Mus musculus: one gene and its partners. The protein of the gene in region 3 interacts with the protein of the main gene of each other region in a pairwise test. Links are inferred from orthologs where the notes say so. Each region holds a gene or a part of one and is shown on either strand. Other genes may lie near its edges.

Region 1 (4,231 bases), on a different chromosome or scaffold from region 3:
ACAAAATAGTCTTTTCAGTCCCTCTGGGAGCCCTAGATGTGGCAATAGAAAAACCCAGGGCTCAAATTTCTGGAGACGGGGACTGGTAGACAGTCATTTAACAAGGGAGATCAGAAGACCATTCAGGAAGCACCAGGGGCTTATCTGCAGGAGGAGGAAGAAAGAGAGGCTGCGGCCTGTGCAGTAGTGAAGATGGGAGAAGCTTTGGGAACAGTTTAAGGAAAAACCTGCAGAAAAGCAAAGTGGAGGAGTGATTTTTCAGTGGGAGATAGCACCTTCAAAGTTCGACGAGAGAGAGGAGAGCCACAGTACAAGTCAGTTTGAAAAGCACAAATGCTGTCTGGAGATGAGTGCCTATGATCCCAACACTTGGCTCAGGAGGCCAAGGCAGGGGGATTGAGAATTGGAAAGCACCCCTGGTCTGTGTAGTTGTGACCTCATCTCAAAAATAAAATAGCTTAAGACTTTTTTTAGTCCCATGGGAAAAGGTTAGCCAGTTTAAGTGCTGTACAGCAGTAACCAACTTACAGGTAATATCTCTCAGTCATATTCTAAAAATTTTAGAGTGCTTATCACCATATCCTAACAGTCACAGCCAGTCCCCACCCCCATGATTCCACCAAAAAATGAGGCCAACTTACCTTTTCCCGTCGCTTCTCTTCCTCATGCTCTTTATTGCCTCTGGGAACTCCTTTCCTTTCTTCCAGCAGCTCCCTAAACAGGTCCACAGGGCCAGAACTTGGAGCTCCTGGGTCTGCTGCTTCCAGCTCAGGCACTGAGTTTCGTTGCCTGGCTTTCTTCCGTAGGAATTCCGTACGGGCCTATGAAGGGTTATAGGGAAGACATTCAGAACCCAGAAGTGCTGAGGATACAAGAATGGTCCATGGGCAGGGAGGGCAGTGGTAGCACACACCTTTGAACCTAGCATTCAGGAGACAGAGGCACATGGATCTCTGAATTCAAGGCCAGCATGGTCTACAGAGTGAGTTAGTTCCAGGACTACACAGAAAAATCCTGTCTTGAAAAGAGGGGGTGGGGGTGGGGCAAATATTGAGAGCAAGAAGAGATACCATTTCTAACTTGGAGTGGAGAATCGATGTTTTTAGACAGTAAACTGGGCTATCAGAGATAGTTCAGAGAAGATCCCTGACCTAAAACAGAAGGCTTCCCAGTCTCAAGTGATGCAAGGAAAACCCACTCAGGTATAGGTATAGGTGGCTTGTTCAGCCATAGAGCCCCTGCCTTGTGTGTAGTTCCAAATTCAGTCCCCAACACAAGTATGTATATACTCCCAAACTTGTAAGGTAATCAAATATTGCTTTCTGGACAAAGGATCTAAATCCAAGGTATGGCTCCAGGTCACCACTCCAAGTACAACCTGACCCCAGATAGGGATGGTCTCTGATTCACAATTCTCCCCTTTCTGCAGCCTTAGTATCTGGGATTAATTACAAGCGTCACCTTTTTGTTTGTTTGTTTTGTTTTGTTTTGTTTTTTAAGACAGGGTTTTTCTGTGTAGCCCTGGCTGTCCTGGAACTCACTTTGTAGACCAGGCTGGCCTCAGAAATCCACCTGCCTCTGCCTCCCAGGTGCTGGGATCAAAGGCGTGCGCCACCGCCACTACCCGGCTTTTTTTTTTTTTTTTAAGCCCACACTAATTCATGATCAGATTGGCCAAGGGACTTAAGTGTAAACCAAACTAATCGAGTAACTTAGAGTCTGTGATGTGTGTGTGGTCTTCAATACTAGCGTTCAAGTGGAACAGGCAAGCTGAGTTCAAGACCAGCCTGGTCTACGTAGCCAGTTCCATAACAGCCACGGCTACACAGACCCTGTTCCAAATAAAACCTCCAGATGCTCTTTTCTTGGCAAGCAATGAGGGAGGGAGAAAAGACATGCCCAACGAAGTGGACCCCGGCTTGTCCGCCCTTTGCCCTCCTTGCTGAAGCCGTTGTACTCAGAGCAAGGTGACCGCACCCCTCCAAGTTGTTCTAAGAGGGAATTTCTCAAAGCAAGCGCTCAGAAGGAAGGGAGCATACACAGAGTGGGTGATCAGTAATTAACTTGTGCGGGCAACCTATAAAGTAATCAGAATATTTGTCCAACTCTTCCAGTATGCTAGTCTCTGGTCCCTCAACACCAGTGGGGAAATCTAGGAAGGTTTCTTGGAAGTTAGCACAGGATTTTCAGAGAAACATCGTCGAACACACAGACCCGCTCCCGGCACCGAGTGATAGCTAGGCCCGCCGCGCTTCTGGGCGGTCCCCAGGCTTACCTCTTGCTGGGCGAGCAGCACCCTCCGCTCCCGCTCCTTCTCCTCCTCCCGGGCCTGGGCCTCGTCGCGCCGCACGCGGGCAACATTGTCCTTGTTCCGGACGTGCCAGCTCTTCTTCGGCAAGATATTCATGGCTCCAGTGCCGACCTCGGACTGTCAGGCCCACTCTTCAGCACTTCCGATTGGCTCGAGGATGCTCCCGCCCCATGGTTCCACCCTTGCTCGTGCATTGGTTCTGGGCCAATTGTCACGTCCCATCCTAGCCTTGTTTAGAGATTATTGGCTGAGAGCCTTCCATCTCAGCCAATCCTAAGCATTTGTAACCTGAGTTGCTCCACCCCCGGACGCTGCTTGATGAGGCTGTTGCCTGTCTATTCCTTTAAGCAGACATAACCTAGCTCTTCAGGCCGATTTGGACCTGGCCCCTCCCCAAACCCCGTCCGAGGCTTCAGAACGGGGTTTCAAAACGCAAAGCGGCCTTGACTGTTGTTTATTAATACGGTTCAATTGAGAGTGTAGCATTCGGGTGGCAGAGGGCGGGGAATTTGGTTCCAGAGATGAAAGAGTCCCATCACTTGATATGAAGTCACTGAAGCTGAGGGGCTGAAGGTTCAGCCAGACTTATCAGGAAGTTCCATTCCTTGAGCTCAGAGCCACAGCTCGCTGGGCCAGGAAGACTTTATTCTGCACTTCCTGCGGGCAAAAAGGAGCGAAAGTGAAGCACACCTTTTCATTCTTCTTTCATAGTCTCATAGAGCCCTTTCCGGGGAAATCAGCCTGGCTCACCGTCTCTATCTGGCGTTTGAGCTCAGAGATGAGGCGTCCGTAACAGTTAGCCAGGGCTACGGTATACATCATCAGGATGCTATGGAAGACAGGAATGAAAATCACTCTAGAAAAACAATCATCTTCATCATATGGCTCCTTAGAAACCAGGCTGGAGAGATGGCTCGTAACCGGAGCACTGGCTGCACTTCCAAAGGACCGGGGTTCAATTCCCAGCCCCACATGGCAGCTTACAATTGTAACTCAAGTTCGTTACTTCACACAGACAGTCACACTGTCCAAATACCAACACACATAAAAATTAAATGAATAAGTAAATTAAAGAAACCAATATCAGGATCCTCAAATCCCTTAAAACCCTTTTTGAGACTCTGAACACAAGTCTTTATCCTCTCTCTTTAGACCCAAAAGTTCAGACCCTTTAACCAGAGGTTAAACTAGAGGTTCAGGCTCCATACCTCCTCCCCCTTCATCAAATCGATAAATCCACACCCTAGCCCTCCTTTCCTCAGACCAGGAATCCAAACCCAGATGTCTTTTCTTAGACCCTAAGCATTCACACTCCGACTCTCCTGCTCTTGATTTATAGGCATCCCGGCCAGCCCCACGTCTCTGTTGTATATAGGCACCCAGCCCACCTCTCTAGCACTCAGGTGCCCAGAAACTCCTTTCTCTTTCAAACACTAAATTACACACATTCAAAGTCTGACTGCTCACCTAGAGAGGATCAGAAGAGGTACAGTAAAAGCTTGGGTTCCCAGAAAGTAGAGAAAATTCTGGGCAGTCTGAGGGAGGCTCTCAATGGCCTCAGGGATCTGGGCCCAAATGGACAGCTTCCCGCGGAACGGGCCACACAGTTTCGAAGGTGGGATCCTGTAGGGGGAGACACACTGGATTCAGTCAAGTCGAGCTAGAGTGAGAACAAACAGAAGTCTCTCGTACTTACAGGAAGATACTGTAAAGCACGGGAACTGCAGAGATCGCCAGACCCACAAGGAGAACCAGGGGGAAAAAGAAGTTTGCCGTGGATGCTCGGAAGGTGCGGGAAGCCGGTGAGTAGATGGAGAAGAGGGTTATCTGGTAGGGAGAGGCGAGGAAATGGAGGTGTAAGACTCAAGAGTCAATCCTTTGCTTTTCCCTGTTTCTTATCTTGGAGCTTTGGCCTCCTTT
Region 2 (4,155 bases), on a different chromosome or scaffold from region 3:
CAGGCTAGCCTCCAGCTTGTGATGTCCCTTCCTCGCTGGGATCCCAGGCATGTGCCATAGAGCCTGTCTCCTGGCAGGAAGCATATTCCTGATTTTCCTATCACAGATTGCAACACCAAGAGAGCCAAGTTATATCTGCGAGGTCCCGTGTCTGTGCATGTGAGTTCTATTCCTTCCTTCTCCCCGACCTCTGATCCAGTCACAACCGACTCAGAGCTCCACCAAAGGCACAGAGCTGGAAAGCAAGCCTGTGAACGTATAAAGGACTCTGGTGTGTATGTATTTATTTATTTGGTTGGTTAGTTAGTTAGTTAGTTAGCTGGCTAGGCAGGGTCTCCTGCAGTCCAAGCCAGCCTTAAACTCCCAAGGATTGGGTTTGCAGCCATGTACCACTGAGCCCAGATCTTTTGTTTTTATTTTTGAAATGTGTGGACAAAATAGTCCTGGTGACTTCACCTAGTTGTGCTTGGCCTCATGACCACAGATACCCAGGCATTTCTGGGAAGTACAATTTTGTTTCTGCCTTCTGTCTGTCTGCCTGTCTGTCTGTCTGTCTGTCTGCCTGCCTGCTCTTCCAGAGGTCCTGAGTTCGATTCCCAGCAACCACGTGGTGGCTCACAACTGTCTGAAATGGGATCTGATGCCCTCCTCTGGTATGCATGAAGAGAGTTATGGTGTCTGTAAGTTGCCTGAATATCAGCTACCCTCTAAGTCTTTACCAGGTGAGGAAGGATCACAGTAGTGAAACTGGGGAGACCCCTGCTGCCCTGGCCCAGTGTCTAATCAGACCCTCATGGACAGAGAGGCTCTGCCTCGAATACACACGGTTCTGCTGGCATTGAAGGGTTTCTCATAGATTTACCGACAATTTTTAATTTTAGATTTTTTAATTTACTTTTTGAAACAGTCTTGTTTTGTAGCCCAAGTTGGTCCAGAATTCATTATGTAATCAAGGTTAACTTTAAAAATGACAATTGATTTCCAGAATGGTGGTGACATCTCTAATCCCAGTACTGGGGAGGCAGAGGCAAGAGGATCTCTGTGGGGCTGGAGAGATGGCTCAGCAGTTAAGAGCAATGACTGCTCTTCCAGAGGTCCTGAGTTCGATTCCCAGCAACCACGTGGTGGCTCACAACTGTCTGAAATGGGATCTGATGCCCTCCTCTGGTATGCATGAAGAGAGTTATGGTGTACTCACATATGTTATAAATAAATAATTCTTTAAAAAAAAAGAAAAAGAGGATCTCTGTGGGTTTGAGGTCAGCCTGGTTTGAATGGTGAGCTACAGGACAGCTGGGGTTGCATAGAGAGACCCTGTCTCAGAAACAAAACCAAAAGATGACAATCCTCCTGCTTTAGCCTCCCAACTGCTGGAATTAGTGTAGCTTGACAAAAGACTCACAAAGACCACAGAGACCGCCGCCATCATTGCAAAACGCATGAGGATTTTACTTATCCAACATGTTGGGGAACCCCCTCTCAGCACGCAAGCCGGAAAGAGACCCAGAACAAAGAAAGAACACATTTTTTATACCTTGGTAAAGGCCGGATATAGGCACCAGGGTAGTTTGGCTTATTTTAATTGGTGTAGCCAATAACCTTTTTAGACATTGGTTGGTTTGTATAGGGTGACTCTCATTTTGTCTGTCCTTGAGGTTTTTAGTGTGAGGCGGGACAGGGGGGATTGTTAAACTTGTTCTGGAAGCTTAGTAATTTTGACCGTTAAAACTATATTTCTATATTTGTTTAGTCAGCCAGCTTTTTATCTGCCTCTGTACTTGGCCTGCTAGTACAGTCTGGAAAGTCCTTTTGAAGGGGGAAGGTCTGGGGTAGTCTTGAATTTATATTGAATATTACAGAATTACAGGTATACACTACCATTCCCAGTTATTATTTTAAACTGTGTGTGTGTCTGTCTGTTTGTTTGTCTGTGTTCATATAAGTGGAGGTCAGAGGTCAACTTTCGGGAGTCAGTTCTCTCTTTCCATCATTTATGTTTTCAAGTTGAGGCCTGGTAGCCACACTAGCCAACACATATGCACACACACACATCTCAATATATCGTTGATTTCTTCTCCAGAGTTTTAAAAAAAAAAAAATCAAAGCCTTAAAATGAATGAAATCTAGTCCAAGCTCCTACAAAGCCTATGCAAGACCACTCTCTTCCTTTCCAGTTTCTGCAGGTCCTGGCTGCTATAGACTCAGGTCGGGCTAACCAGCCTCAGGGCAGCTGCTGACTCACGCTGACTCTCCTACCTCTCAGCCCCTCCCTCCCAGCGGAGGGCACCCACCCCATCCCCCTCTGTGACCTAACCCACCCCTCCCTGAGCCCACCTGGAAGACGTCGTTGGCACACTTGCGGCACAGGTTGTGTTGGCAGGGCAAGATCACCACGGGCTTGGAGAACATCTCCAGGCAGATGGGGCAAATGAGCTGCTTCTCCAAGTTGTCCATGTTGTGCGCATCCCCTAGCAGCGGCTTGAAACCCACCGTGAAGTTCATCCCGCGGCGCTCTGGAGCCTGCCTCGCTGTGGCCCTGTCGTTGGCCTTCTCCCCTGCCTGTGCACCCTTCCTCGGTCAGTTTAGGCTGACTGGATTCTTGGGATCCCGGCTATTGCTCCCTCTTGGAAGAGTCCTGTCCCTTCCCCTAACAGCTCCTCTCACCCCTGTCTATTTCCAGACACTCTGTCTACACTCCTTGCTCAGAACCCTCACCAGGCGCTTGTAGCTTTATCTTGCCCTGTGAAATTCTCCTCCTGTCCCCCCAAACCACCCTCTTGGTCACTCTTTGGGCAGCACTGTTTGTCCCTTCCTCCCTAGAGAGATTAACATTACTGTGGGGGTGGGGACACAAGGGGCATCCGTGTGACATTCCAGTTCCCAATTTAGCTCATGTAAGGTGAGCCACAGCTGTCCCCGGACTGAGTGGCCCTGACTCATTCAGGAAGGGGTGGCTAGGAATGGTATGGGGCTCACTTGCTGTCACTGGGAAGGCTCCTGTGAACATTGGTCTCCATGTTCTGGCTTGGGACCTTTTTCCAAACAGAAACAAAGTCTAAACTAGCCTTTGGGAGAGATGGCCCCAAGTGGGGGGGCAAGGTCTGGATAGATCTGTAGATCTGGTGTCATCTCTTCCTCCACAGGCTTAGCCAGTGATCCCGGCCCTCCTAGAGAGTGCATGATTCAGAAATGGAATGCCAGACCAAGAAAGAGAACTTTTCTTCTTCTTCTATTTCTTCTTCTTCTTCTTCTTCTTCTTCTTCTTCTTCTTCTTCTTCTTCTTCTTCTTCTTCTTCTTCTTCTTCTTCTTCTTCTTCTCCTTCTTCTCCTCCTCCTCCTCCTCCTCCTCCTCCTCCTCCTCCTCCTCCTCCTTCTTCTTTTTAAAACAGTATAGCTTTGTAGCTTTTCTCTGTATAGCTTTGGCTGTCCTGGAACTCACTCTGTAGACCAGGCTGGCCTCAAACTCAGAAATCCGCCCGCCTGCCTCTGCCTCCCAAGTGCTGGGATTAAAGGCATGTGCCACCACCACCCGGCCGAGAGAGAACTTTTTGACCCATGTCTGCCCCATATTTGTTCTTGCTCAGCCTTTACAGAGAAACAACCCCACACTAATTTGCTTTGGGGAGTGGTGGGTGCAACCTGGAGGTCACAGGACAGTGGACACCCCCACAAGTCAGTTCCTTTTCTGCAGCATATGGGTCCCAGAAATCAAACTTGAGTCATCAGAATTGATGACAAGTACATTTACCCAATGAACAATCTCACTATACACTTCCCTCTCCCTTATTAAAGACAGGCTCTTGTGTTGTAAGAGTCTGACGAGCCTTAGCTTACTGGGGGACCCTCAGAGCTGGGGATCGATGCAAAAGCAAGAATAATTTATTGTTCCAGCATTCTGAGGTTGTCATTCTCAGAATGACACCTGAAGGAGAGGTGGCAACCCCAGGCGGCCTGTTCCATAAGTTTTTATATGGTTTCCAGGGGTGGAATAGAGCATCAGCAACTAGGCACATTATGATTGGTGGGACAGTGTGCCCTTTAAATTGGCTGGTCTTTAGGGAATGAGGTAGTAAGGGCTTAATTAGCCCCTTCCTTCCAGCCTACGTACTCTCTATCCTGTCTCTTCTAGGAGGAGAGGGATGTGATGGAATTTCT
Region 3 (2,615 bases):
ACAACTTAGGACAGTCAGACCTGCAAGGCCTTGGAGTGTGCCTGGCAGTTAGCACACTTGAAGCACAGGAATGAGATGAGGGGGAGGTACCTTCAAAGCGGAGGGAAAGTGTGTCTAGGGCCCACTCAGGTGGGCTCTAGATTTATTCTGAAAGGTGGCCATGTCATCCAGCCTCAAGGACTTCACCCACAGAGCCTGGCTTCCGGCCACCCAGACAGGGAGCCTCCCAGTGGGCAGTGGGTGGCTCCATGTTTATTTCAACTGCCCCTTCCAGGAGGCCCAGCAGACCATAATAAGCCCTGGTGTTCCCTCCGCAGGGGTAGTGTGTCAGGCTTCACCCCACAGAGCTCCTTTCATGCTTACTAACTTCCTGGCAGGGAAATGCTACCTTCAAGGTGGGGAAACTTGCCTATATTCGGAGGACAGACAGACCAGCAGGAGAGGCTCACCTGTTAGGGGTTCCTGAGGGCATGGGGTGACAGATATTGTGTGAGCATCTGTGGGGCCACTGGGCCTTTACTTTTGCCAACAGGGGACTCCCGAGAACCCGGGCATCAACCAGCGGGCCCTGCAGCTGCTCTTCTCGGAGGTGCAGGAGAAGGCGTCTGACTGGCAGTACAACATCACCGTCAGCGCAGCTGAGATTTACAATGAAGTCCTCAGGTGGGCCTGGGCTGGAGCTCGGAGTGCTGGTAGTGGGGCTTTCTGGTCTCCAAGTCTAAGTTCTAGGTGAGGCTGGGAAGAGGATCTGCCCAGGGTTAGGAGTTAGGTGGTCCTCCCTTATCTGGGACCCCTTTCTGTGTTGTGGGCTGCGCTGAACTGGGTCGGGATGGGGCCCCTACCCAGTCAGGGGCTGTGTGGTCCTTAGGACTTCTGTGGAAGTCTGTTTCCCCTCTGCTGAGTGCAAGTCCTGTGGTCCAGGATTGGTGCAGGGGCAGATTCCAGACTAGGGATTGGGTGCAAGGCAAGCAGAGGCCAGAGTGGGAGGGGAGAAGTCATGTCTCGCTTGGCTTGCCGCTCCAGGGACCTGCTGGGGAAAGAGCCTCAGGAGAAGCTGGAGATCCGACTGTGCCCGGATGGCAGTGGGCAACTGTATGTGCCAGGGCTGACTGAGTTCCAGGTGCAGAGCGTGGATGACATCAACAAGGTAAGGTGTCCTGGGGAAGTGCTGGAGGCCCCGCTCACCAACAGCTGCTCTGGTGGACAGAACTGGGCTCCAGGTCCAAGGTGGGCTTTGCCACCACCTGACAATGCAGCTTAGGGGAGTCCCCAGGCCTCTCCAAGCCTGTCTCCTCATCTGAAAGGAAAGGCAGGTATAGGAGCACACCTGTAAAGCTAAGTCAGGAGAATTGTGAATCGGGAACCAGTCTGACTACCTAGCAAGACCCTCAGAGGCTTTCATGTGGCTGGGTGTACACAGCTTTAATGTCAGCACTTGGACAGAGGCAGGTGGATCTCTGCCAGATCAGTGAGTTCTACATAGTGAGTTCCAGGCCAGACAAGACTACAGAGACCTGATCTCAAAACAAAAAATTAAAAAGATAGCAAGATGTGATGCTGTCCACCCTTTTATCCCAGTATTTGAGAGGCAAAGGCAGGCAGATCTCTGAGCTAGAGGGCAGCTTGGTATACACACTATGACCTTGCCTCTGCCTAAAACCAAACAATAATAACAAAAACCTTGAAGAAACTTGAGTATCCAGGTAAAGCACATAGGGTGGCATTGCCCATCCCAAAGGAGCCCGCTCACTGCCTTTGCCCCCAGGTGTTTGAGTTTGGCTACAACAACCGCACCACCGAGTTCACCAACCTGAACGAACACAGCTCCCGCTCCCACGCTCTGCTCATCGTGACAGTGAGAGGTGTGGATTGCAGCACAGGCCTCCGCACCACGGGTGAGAGATGCACAGTGGCCATTCTGGTCAAGCCCTCCATCAGTATCTTTGGGGCAGCGCTGACCCACCCTCTGCTCTGCCTGCAGGGAAGCTGAACCTGGTGGACCTGGCTGGTTCAGAGCGTGTGGGCAAGTCGGGGGCTGAGGGCAACCGCCTGCGAGAGGCACAGCACATCAACAGGTCACTATCCGCCCTGGGGGACGTCATTGCTGCCCTGCGTTCTCGACAAGGCCATGTGCCCTTCCGCAATTCCAAACTCACCTACCTGCTGCAGGACTCACTCAGTGGTGACAGCAAGACCCTTATGGTGGTACAGGTGAGGGCCTGAGGTTCAGCAAGAGCCTCCCCAGGCTGCTGGCTCCCCCTACCCCCACATAGACCCCTACCAACATCCCCTTTTAGTACACAAGTTCCTCCCCATGTTCACTGCCCACAGTGGGCTCCCCTGACCAGAAACACCCTCTGGTGGCCATGCTGCTACCTCCTGTGCTGTACCATGAGCTCTCTGTCCCCTAGGTGTCCCCAGTGGAGAAGAACACCAGCGAGACTCTGTACTCCCTCAGATTTGCTGAGAGGGTTCGCTCTGTGGAGTTGGGCCCTGGGTCCCGCCGCACAGAGCTGGGTTCCTGGTCAAGCCAGGAGCACCTGGAGGTACTGGGGGATGGATGGGGTGGGGGAGGAGGGGAGAGGCTTCCATGAGTGAGACTCAGGCTGGTACCG

Evidence for each region. The genes of interacting proteins can lie anywhere in the genome.
Region 1: the proteins of Kifc3 (region 3) and Leng1 interact in binary tests that used the Homo sapiens proteins (3 or more experiments, as listed by UniProt). The two-hybrid records come from large-scale screens. The link is inferred for Mus musculus from reciprocal best matches to the Homo sapiens genes KIFC3 and LENG1.
Region 2: the proteins of Kifc3 (region 3) and Trim54 interact in binary tests that used the Homo sapiens proteins (3 or more experiments, as listed by UniProt). The two-hybrid records come from large-scale screens. The link is inferred for Mus musculus from reciprocal best matches to the Homo sapiens genes KIFC3 and TRIM54.

What each region holds. Positions count from the first base shown.
Region 1 is NC_000073.6:3,663,041-3,667,271, forward strand, and holds the start of Leng1 (leukocyte receptor cluster member 1 homolog), read right to left. Parts: upstream 2,801-4,231; 5' UTR 2,408-2,800; coding exon 2,276-2,407; intron 822-2,275; coding exon 642-821; intron 1-641. Other genes in the region: Tmc4 (transmembrane channel-like protein 4), read right to left, coding at 2,900-2,968, 3,062-3,140, 3,779-3,934, 4,008-4,138.
Region 2 is NC_000071.6:31,115,257-31,119,411, reverse strand, and holds the start of Trim54 (tripartite motif-containing protein 54), read right to left. Parts: upstream 2,801-4,155; 5' UTR 2,503-2,800; coding exon 2,335-2,502; intron 1-2,334. UniProt on the Homo sapiens protein: May bind and stabilize microtubules during myotubes formation.
Region 3 is NC_000074.6:95,101,943-95,104,557, reverse strand, and holds part of Kifc3 (kinesin-like protein KIFC3), read left to right. Parts: intron 1-532; coding exon 533-663; intron 664-1,023; coding exon 1,024-1,147; intron 1,148-1,765; coding exon 1,766-1,895; intron 1,896-1,981; coding exon 1,982-2,211; intron 2,212-2,411; coding exon 2,412-2,546; intron 2,547-2,615. UniProt on the Homo sapiens protein: Minus-end microtubule-dependent motor protein. Involved in apically targeted transport. Required for zonula adherens maintenance.